3 linked regions of the Tribolium castaneum genome follow. The protein of the gene in region 1 purifies or fractionates together with the protein of each later gene. This does not show direct contact. Links are inferred from orthologs where the notes say so. Each region holds a gene or a part of one and is shown in the gene's direction. Other genes may lie near its edges.

The links.
Region 2: the proteins of CYLD (region 1) and mitogen-activated protein kinase kinase kinase 7 purify together in Homo sapiens (affinity purification with western blotting; 4 studies listed by BioGRID, with this or other methods). This does not show direct contact. The link is inferred for Tribolium castaneum from reciprocal best matches to the Homo sapiens genes CYLD and MAP3K7.
Region 3: the proteins of CYLD (region 1) and 14-3-3epsilon purify together in Homo sapiens (affinity purification with mass spectrometry; 3 studies listed by BioGRID and IntAct, with this or other methods). This does not show direct contact. The link is inferred for Tribolium castaneum from reciprocal best matches to the Homo sapiens genes CYLD and YWHAE.

The regions. Positions count from the first base shown.
Region 1 is NC_087398.1:4,982,819-4,985,099, reverse strand, and holds the end of CYLD (ubiquitin carboxyl-terminal hydrolase CYLD), read left to right. Parts: coding exon 1-110; intron 111-155; coding exon 156-588; intron 589-636; coding exon 637-975; intron 976-1,026; coding exon 1,027-1,223; 3' UTR 1,224-1,739; downstream 1,740-2,281. Other genes in the region: Membrin (probable Golgi SNAP receptor complex member 2), read right to left, coding at 1,862-2,281. UniProt on the Homo sapiens protein: Deubiquitinase that specifically cleaves 'Lys-63'- and linear 'Met-1'-linked polyubiquitin chains and is involved in NF-kappa-B activation and TNF-alpha-induced necroptosis.
Region 2 is NC_087399.1:3,650,855-3,655,061, forward strand, and holds the start of mitogen-activated protein kinase kinase kinase 7, read left to right. Parts: upstream 1-1,379; 5' UTR 1,380-1,512; coding exon 1,513-1,593; intron 1,594-1,637; coding exon 1,638-1,937; intron 1,938-1,983; coding exon 1,984-2,415; intron 2,416-2,463; coding exon 2,464-2,691; intron 2,692-2,774; coding exon 2,775-2,850; intron 2,851-4,207. Other genes in the region: prohormone-2, read left to right, coding at 1-106; putative ankyrin repeat protein RF_0381, read right to left, coding at 289-677, 722-1,337. UniProt on the Homo sapiens protein: Serine/threonine kinase which acts as an essential component of the MAP kinase signal transduction pathway. Plays an important role in the cascades of cellular responses evoked by changes in the environment.
Region 3 is NC_087401.1:11,223,846-11,226,574, reverse strand, and holds the end of 14-3-3epsilon (14-3-3 protein epsilon), read left to right. Parts: intron 1-171; coding exon 172-482; intron 483-870; coding exon 871-1,210; intron 1,211-1,257; coding exon 1,258-1,313; 3' UTR 1,314-2,203; downstream 2,204-2,729. Other genes in the region: histone-lysine N-methyltransferase eggless, read right to left, coding at 2,227-2,433, 2,486-2,637, 2,687-2,729. UniProt on the Homo sapiens protein: Adapter protein implicated in the regulation of a large spectrum of both general and specialized signaling pathways. Binds to a large number of partners, usually by recognition of a phosphoserine or phosphothreonine motif.

The DNA.
Region 1 (2,281 bases):
ATTCCTGCTACCTCGACGTCACCCTTTTCTCAATGTTTACCTACACAGCAGTATTTGACAGTTTGTTGTTTCGGCCCAAAGGTCCGAAAGATATCCCCGATTATAACGAGGTTGATTTTTCGTATTTTTCGAAAACAAATTAAATTGTGTTTTAGGTCCAACGAGTATTACGTGAAGAAATCGTAAATCCGCTCCGAAAAAATTTGTTTGTTCGTGCCGATCGCGTGATGAATTTGAGACGTTTATTAGATCGATTAAGTTCGGTGTCCGGTTTAACGAGCGAAGAGAAGGATCCTGAGGAGTTTCTCAATTCGCTTTTGGCGCAGATACTTAAAGCCGAGCCGTTTTTGAAGCTTAACTCGGGTCAGGAGTCGTTTTATTATCAGTTGTTTGTGGAGAAAGACGCCGATTTAACGTTACCCACAGTACAACAATTATTCGAACAAAGCTTTCTCACGAGTAACATTAAATTGAAAGAAGTTCCCTCTTGTCTCATCATACAGATGCCGAGGTTCGGGAAGAACTACAAAATGTATCCGAGAATTCTACCGTCACAGCTTCTAGACGTGACTGACGTTATTGAAGGATGTAAGCGGAAAAACTCTCGTCACTCGTGAAATAATAATTGTTTTTTAGCTCCTCGTCAGTGTATCGTTTGTGGCAAACTCGCCCATTGGGAGTGTCGTGAGTGCTTTGATGATTGTAGCAACGCCGGGCTGGAAAGTACGGCTTTCTGCTCTATGTGTCTCGAAAAAGCCCACAGACACGAACGGAGGTCACACCACCGCCCCGCTGTGAAACTAGATGTCTGTGATGATTTCTCGATCCTTGAAGATCACTGTCGTCCTCCTCGACTTTTCATGGAACTATTTGCTGTGATTTGTATTGAAACTTCCCATTATGTAGCTTTCGTCAAGTGCGGAGTTGGCCACGAGGCGCCGTGGTGTTTTTTCGATTCGATGGCGGATCGTAAAGGTGTGACACCATCTCGCGGCCAAGATATAAAAATTCACGAGTATTTTTCAGGCGAGAAAAATGGGTACAATATCCCGGAGATGGTCGCATGTCCGGATATTTCACGATGGTTGTCGGACGAACGGATCTGCCGCCAGTTACACGAGGACTTCCCCCAAGACCGTCACCTACCCGAACACGCGCGCAGGTTGTTATGTGATGCTTATATTTGCATGTACCAAAGTTCTGACGTCATGATGTACAGATAGATTTTTTCTTTACGACTGATATTTTTAGAATATTTATTTCTGTTTAATGTTGTATAAAGTATAGAAATTTTGATTTAATTTGTTACGAAAACACTTAACCTGATTTAAGAATTAAAATATAATGCTTGTTATATTCAGTATTGTTGTTAACTATATCACTTTGTTATTCTTCCCGGAACTGTAGGAACTATCATGACAATGTGCCTTGCCTGCTGATCTAACAATCTTCTATTTCAAGTATACGTTTGAATCGTATGTCGGCTTCATTTTTCACAAATACAAAGTGATATGGGCATTTATTAAATTTTAAAAGCGATCCCGTTGGATCGGTACGATTTTTCCCTGTCTATAAATTAACTAGAAATCGTACTGGCTCAAATAACCCCACCACATAAATAGTTCACACTTATTAATTTAAAACTATAAAATAGACTTATCGAGTATTTTTTGTAGAAAATTTATTTTTATTGTTAAAGAACGGAAAGAGGGACGAAATAAATTCTAGCAATCAAACAACCACGCATTTTCTTTACCCTTCACTGCCAATCCCAAATATTTAACCCAACCAAAACGAATTAATTTTTTATTAATAAATCAAGATTACATAATTCACAACAACCAGGGAATGTGTCACCTCTCTATGTAAAATACACAATTACAAAAACAATCACTAAAAGCGTAATCACGATTCCCAGTATCAGTATATATTTGTCTTCACCGGCCCTTTTCTCGATTAGTCTCATTGTGTGGTTACTCAGCCCCAGCGTATTAGCCATGTCCATAATGCGACGATGTGCCCCCTTCAAAGTCAGTCTTTGCGACCTAAGCGACTCTAACGCATTAACCCCCGTGTGTAGCATTTCGTCTACACCTCTATGAGAATTCTGTAATGAATTCTGGTGCTGTAACGCATAGTCTATATTGATGGTCGTCAGATCGGGATTAGGGGCAAACCGGCGATTCAACAATTGTTCCCTTTCATTAATCGCAGCCTCTCGTCGTGCCCTTTTCTGTCTAGAGGCCACTAGGGCCGCCTGAAGGTGCCTTGCATCATACTT
Region 2 (4,207 bases), on another chromosome or scaffold:
GCGCTACTTGAACGGCCCCAACAAGAACGACTACTACACGCTGAGCCAACTCTTGAGCAATCAACGCGAGCCTAATGTTCCCCTTTACCATCGGCTAGTTTTGTAATAAGTTTTTAGACTAAACCCGAGCTCATATCGCGTTTTTGAATCGTTTAAAGTCTATCTGTGTTACTAGTTTATTGATGTTTATATGTTTTAACTCTCAAAAAGTCAGTCAGTATAATATTTACAATATATTTATTGAATGTTGTATTCCGTAATATTAATAAATTGTGCATAATGATCTGTTTATTTTTGTTTCAATTCGGCCTCTTTCTCCATCTCCGCCAGCTTCCGCTCGCTGATTCGCGCCCGGACCTTGCTAGACCACTGGAAGATCTTCGGGAGGGCGGTGAGCAAAGGCGGGGGTCTGTAGCCCTTGCGGAAGTAATCGGCGATCACTTCGTTACCGTGGTCCACAGCCACTTTAATGGGGCTGCGCTTACAGCTATCCACAACGTGGATTTTAGCCCCCTTTTCGACCAAAACCACCGCCAGTTCCAGAAAACCGGTCACCGCAACAAAGTGGAGACAATTGCGCCCTGAGTCGGGCTCCCTCATATTAATATTAACCCCGTTCTCCAACAAGAGCAGCACCAAATCAATCTGACGAATGCAGCGGCAATACAACACCATTTCTGCAAATTTTAATAATACTTTTTTCGTTTGGATGATCAAGTACCAAAAAAAATATGGAGTGGTCTTTGGTGCTCGACGCTCATATTGGCCCCACTTTGGAACAAGGTTTTGGCAATTAGGTAATTATTGGTGTCTAGGATGCTCAAAGAGAGGGGCGTATTGCCAAAGCAGTCAACAACATTGACCTCAGCCCCGAATTTTAGCAACTTTATCGTAATACCGTAATTCTCATTCTGTACGGATAAATGCAGGGCTGTTTTATTAAACCGGCCGTAAATATTGGGGTCGGCTCCGTGTTCCAGCAAAAGAAGGGCAAATTTTTTGCAGTCGCATAAGCAGGTAACATGCAGGGCAGTGTAACCGTGGGCGTTCCGCACATCCACGTCAAATTTTTTATACTCCAAAAGGCGGTACCCCAGGATGTAGTCGTTCCGTTCGGCGAGTAAATGCAAAGGGGTGACACCGTACTCCGTGGAGCGAATGTTCGGGTTTACTCCTTTACTCAAACACTTTGTTATCTCAGGAATGTTCCGGGAGTAAACGGCAACGAAGAATTTCTTCTCTAGGACTTTCTTGCCCACACTGCTCATCACGTCACTCTCGACTCGCTTCTTGAAGCCCTGGTGCCCCCGTTTGTGTAAATCCCGTTCGCTCGACATGATTGACACTCGCGCCGAGTTTTGAACACGGCTGGGGATTTTCGAGCCGAAGGTGACACTTGATCTGAAGGATACATAACCAAATTTATGGTGGTTGATATTTATCGAGATTTTTCGTAATTTTGGGGCTGTCTGGACGCTCTGTGGCCAAATATGTGATTACTTCGGTATTTCGATGGCGTCTTCGGAAAATGAGGGTAGCGTATGTCAGTACACCGTCGAGGAAATCAACTACAATGAAATTCAGAAGCTTGAGGTAAAGTAGCCCTGGTTGTGGCCACCGACACATTGTGGTTTCAGGCAGTCGGTGAGGGCAGCTTTGGAGTCGTTTACAAGGGAATCTGGCGCGATGCGTTCGTGGCGGTCAAAAACATCGTCTCTGAGAACGACAAAGACGCCTTTATTGTGGAAGTCCGGCAGCTGTCAAGGGTCAAGCATGAGAACATTGTCAAGCTGTACGGGGCCTGCACCAAGGGCCCCAACATCTGCCTTGTGATGGAGTACGCCGAAGGGGGCTCCCTCTTCAATATTCTACACCACGCACCTAACGTACACTACACGATGGCCAACGCCATGTCCTGGCTCTACCAGTGCGCCAAAGTAAGGGGCGAAGCCGCACCGACACACTCTTAACTCGGTTTTCCAGGGGGTCGAGTATCTCCATGGCATGAAACCCAAACCTTTGATACACAGAGACCTCAAACCGCCCAACTTGCTCCTGATAAACGGGGGCACCTTGCTAAAGATATGCGACTTTGGTACTGCCACAGACATGACAGCAATCATGACCAACAACAAAGGCTCGGCCGCGTGGATGGCCCCCGAGGTCTTTGAAACGTCAAACTATACGGAAAAGTGCGACGTCTTCAGCTGGGGCATAATCCTCTGGGAGGTGTTATCGCGACTTAAGCCTTTTTTCCACATTAAGGAGTCGGGCTACCCTTCGGCTTTCATGATCTTGTGGGCGAAGCACAGCGGCCGGAGGCCCCCTCTCATCAGGCACTGCCCCCCAGTCATCGAAAAACTGATGACACAGTGCTGGGATCAGGAGGCGGCCAAGCGGCCGAGCATGAAGGAGGTGAGTGCACTATTTTTTGAGTGGGGAAAGTCAAAGTTTGGCTTCCAGATTGTGAAAAAAATGGAAGTTATTTGCTCGTTGCTTCCGGGCGCCGACGAGCCGTTGCAGATCAGGGGCGGTGACGATGTGGTTTACAAGGAGGAAATCGAAGAGTTTGAGGACTGTGTGGAGGAAATAGACCAGTTCCCCGCCAGCACCAACGGCGATAATTGTGTCAAATCGCTGCCCCAGCCGAGTGCCGAGATGTCGCGGCCCCTCAACATTAAAATAAGCCCTGTAAGTCGGTTTTTACGTCGCATGACGTAATTGTCTTTTAATAGAAAATGAGTAAAATTGATTAATTGAGTCGTTTGTTGCAGGACGCATGGGATTTACACGATCTCGACATGCAGCTGAGAACCATGCCCGGCCTTGATAAGATGGTACCAAAAAACGGTAGGTTGTGTTGTTCTTGTGGGCTCGTTGTAAATTTAGCCGAGAGCATTGGCTTAGTGCATGACTCAACAACTTGCAATTCTTGAAAACACTCGAGGGGCTATAATTTTTATTTGTCGCAGTGTTAGTCACACACGGACCAATAAAAATAAGATCAAAGCCGAGTCGACTTGTCTGCACGGCTTCGTCGCGGTATTTTTATCGCTTTGCGACCTTAAAGTCGTGCAGGTCCGGCGCTTTAAGCTCGATTTGGCCGAAATTCCGGTTCCTCCTCCTAAATACGTGCGAAACGAAGGGGCATCTGTTTTTAGACGCGCTGACTCAGCGAGACCGATTTAGAGTAGTTTGTTTAGTTGGAAGTTTCTTGATCGGCCTGCCAGGGACGGCCTGGCCCCAATTCACCACCGGCCTCCGAAATGCGGAAAAGGCGGCTATTTGCAGGTTTTACGCGCTTTGAGGCCTTGCCTAAGGCCATTTCCGCAGAAACAATTCCAAATTTTGGCTTGGGACTACGGACGACTAAAAGTTAGGATGCGAAACGATGGACGAATAAAACGTTCTCGTCGCCAGAGAGCGCACTTATTCATGGTTGTAGGACATGGTGCAAAATTTTTGTTGTAAACTATATTTAAAAAAAATCAAACTTTTGCCCCATATTTTTCAAAAAACGTTGGGACGAAAGTTTTGGGCAGTCCGTCGCTGGCAGCGCCTTGCTCTGTCCCTGGCGTCTTCCCCGTATCGCTATTTCAGTCGCACCCATGCGGCCGTTGCCAGTTTCTTTCCAGCGGCTGGTAGTCTCGCGTAGTTTTTCGAGTGGCCCCCGAACATAAACAATCGACACGTTCCTATCGATCCTGTCCGAAATCTCATCATGTTTCGTACCGTTTGAGATTTTTCCTTGATTTTTTTCGTGCGATATGTGTGACTGTCCGAGAGCCAGCGTTTTCACCACGCATGAGAGCCACCGAAGTTGGATCATTTTCAAAGAGTGCAAGACTGATAACGGTAAATAGTAATTGTTTTGATGGATTATTTTTACGTAAAGTAGCCGGGGAAGGACTAAAATAAATTCGGCCACAATCTTCTTAGTCACGTTTTTATTTTTGAAAGGACGGATGTGTAATTAATCGAGTTTGTGATGTAATGGCATGGAAATCGCACGTCCGGAAGTGCATTCGTGGCGAACGGACACCTGGACGATGGCGGCAGACCGTAGTTGTAATTAAAAAATTTTCAACCCTTTGTGTGAATGTTTCCCGGTTCTGTTGTCACAAGCATGATGGTTTTATTGTTGCATTTTCCGACCTTTCCGACCTAATAATCGATGACACAACAAATTGGATATTTTTTTTTACTA
Region 3 (2,729 bases), on another chromosome or scaffold:
CTTGTTCTTACACTAAATTATTTTTGTTTTTTTCTGGAGACTTGTGAATACGAACTGATATTAACAGTTTGTTTGAGTAAAAGTGTAAATTTACTAGGAGTGACGATTGAGTGACGAGCTGCAGACGAGTGTTGTAACTCTTCAGTTATAACGTTTGAATTTTTTTTTCAGAGATGGTCGACGCCATGAAGAAGGTGGCCAAGCTGGACTTGGAGTTGACCGTCGAAGAGCGCAATCTTCTGTCGGTGGCTTACAAGAACGTGATCGGTGCCCGACGAGCGTCCTGGCGTATAATATCGTCAATTGAACAGAAGGAAGAAAGCAAAGGCACCGACGACAAATTGGAAATGATAAGACAGTACAGGTCACAAGTCGAGAAAGAATTGAGAGACATCTGTTCGGATATTTTGAACGTATTGGATAAACATCTGATACCGGCGGCGTCAACCGGCGAATCGAAAGTCTTCTATTATAAAATGAAGGTAAATTTATTTGTACCAATAGACGATGTGACAATATAATGGTGGGCTTGTTGTTGGAGTAATTTCCATTCGATTTCCTTCAATCGAGCGACCTTCCATGCATAATCGGGACAATTTGTGTCGTTTTATAACTTGTTATATCGATTTTTTTTCACTTATTAATGAATCATTAGCAGCGGGTGACGCTACTTCAATTGATTAGTTTTTATTGAAAAGTTATAAACATAAATCTAGCGCGATAATGGCGAACTTTGCTTGGTGCACACTTCATTCCTCCGCATTTCGAATTAATTATTTGATCAATAAATCAGTGACAGGTTGGGGCGATCTATCATATTGATTGATTCTGTAGGTTGGAGTGAAATATTTCACAAGTTGTTTTTTGCAGGGTGATTACCATCGATATTTGGCCGAGTTCGCAACAGGCAACGATCGCAAAGACGCCGCCGAGCATTCGTTGGTCGCTTACAAGTCAGCGAGCGACATCGCAATGACGGAACTCCCGCCCACGCACCCGATTCGGCTCGGTCTGGCGCTAAATTTCTCGGTATTTTACTACGAGATATTAAATAGCCCCGATAGGGCCTGTCGTCTGGCGAAGGCGGCCTTCGACGACGCCATCGCCGAGTTGGACACGTTATCCGAAGAGAGCTACAAAGACAGCACGCTGATCATGCAATTGTTGCGCGACAACCTGACGCTGTGGACCAGTGATATGCAAGGAGACGGTTAGTATCAAAAATCAGTCAGCAGCTCGGTAATAATCTGTCTGCAGGCGAGGCGGAGCCCAAAGAGCAGCTGCAGGACGTAGAGGACCAGGACGTGTCGTAACTGTTTAGCTGATCTCCAGCGACTACGAACTAACCAGTGCTGTGTAGTGCGGGCCAGGCCCAGACATTCGAACCGGAGGCGGTAACCGTCTCGATCCCAGTACATACTGTATTATTATAATTATCTTAGCCGTAACTCTATATTGTATCTGTTTGTCTCAAAATGTGTGAATGAGAGAGCCTCTCTACGAGCGACTGTTCTCTGATTTCTCTCCTCTCTCCTTGCCCTGTCTCCTCGGCCATTGTCCCGGCGCACGCAATGTTAATCTTTTTCTATTAAACATCAAAAATAAACAAATTAAACGTACTCTCGGTCTAGCAGCTTGGCCTCCCCCTTTATACTCCCTCCCAGTGAGAGTGGCGTGTGGTGCGAATGAGGCGAGTGTCTTGTTTATTTTCCCGCTTTATTTATATTGAGTTTGAACGAAAAAGGCAGCCTTTCGAGGGAATTGTAGTATTAGGTGATTGATTTTTGGCAATAGAGCAGTATTTTTGTGGCGAGCAAAAACACGCATATTTCCGTACAAATGGCATTCCGCTATTTTCGAGTACTTACAGTAGATTTTATGTGATGGTGATTGCATGTCGAGCAATAAGTTTTTTCTATTTTGTAAATCTATTTTTTTACATCACTGTTTTATCGGAAAACTGGTGAAATTTCAGTTTTTCGCGGTACTTAATGTCACCACTGCCAGTGAATCTCAACGGAGCGAAACATTACTAAGGGTTGGTGCAGGATTTTACCAGTTTTTTTGTTTATGACAATTATTTGGCTGTTGTGATTTTTTAACTGCATTTTTAACGTGCGTATGAATGTGAAGAAAAAAAACAATGCTGTGTAGATTGATTTAAAGAAATTGATGTATTATTATAAAATTATTTAAAAACAGACGCAATCTTTGTTGTTACACAACCTACAATAATCTTCCTTTACACTCCAACGAGCCGCAGTGACAGTACAAGACCCGTCCTGGAACACTCCCTATGTCGTAGTTGTAGTTCCATGTTAGTTCAGTGCCGGCCCTGATAAACTGCGAACAGAAGAAGGCGACCCACGGGAACCTCAGATCGTGAGTATCCACGAACACGTTCTGGACGAAGACATTGGGCGAACACGAGTGCTGAAATTGAACGAACGTGAGTCACATTTTTCTCCTACTACTACCACCCTACATTTAAAAACCGGCCAATATTTCCCGCATTTTTCGTATCCATGATGTAGGGCTCCTCCTCCCCAAAGAAACTGCGCACTGACACTTGACTCGGCTTGTTATCGTCCAGGTCTGACCCCGACTTTGGATTAAAACTCAAAACTTCCTTTGGATCTAGTGAGGGAAAAACGTAATCACATACTCGGCTCCGCCTCGCACTTACCGTCCTCATCGTCTGAAATCGTGACGGTTTCGATCTCAGTGGT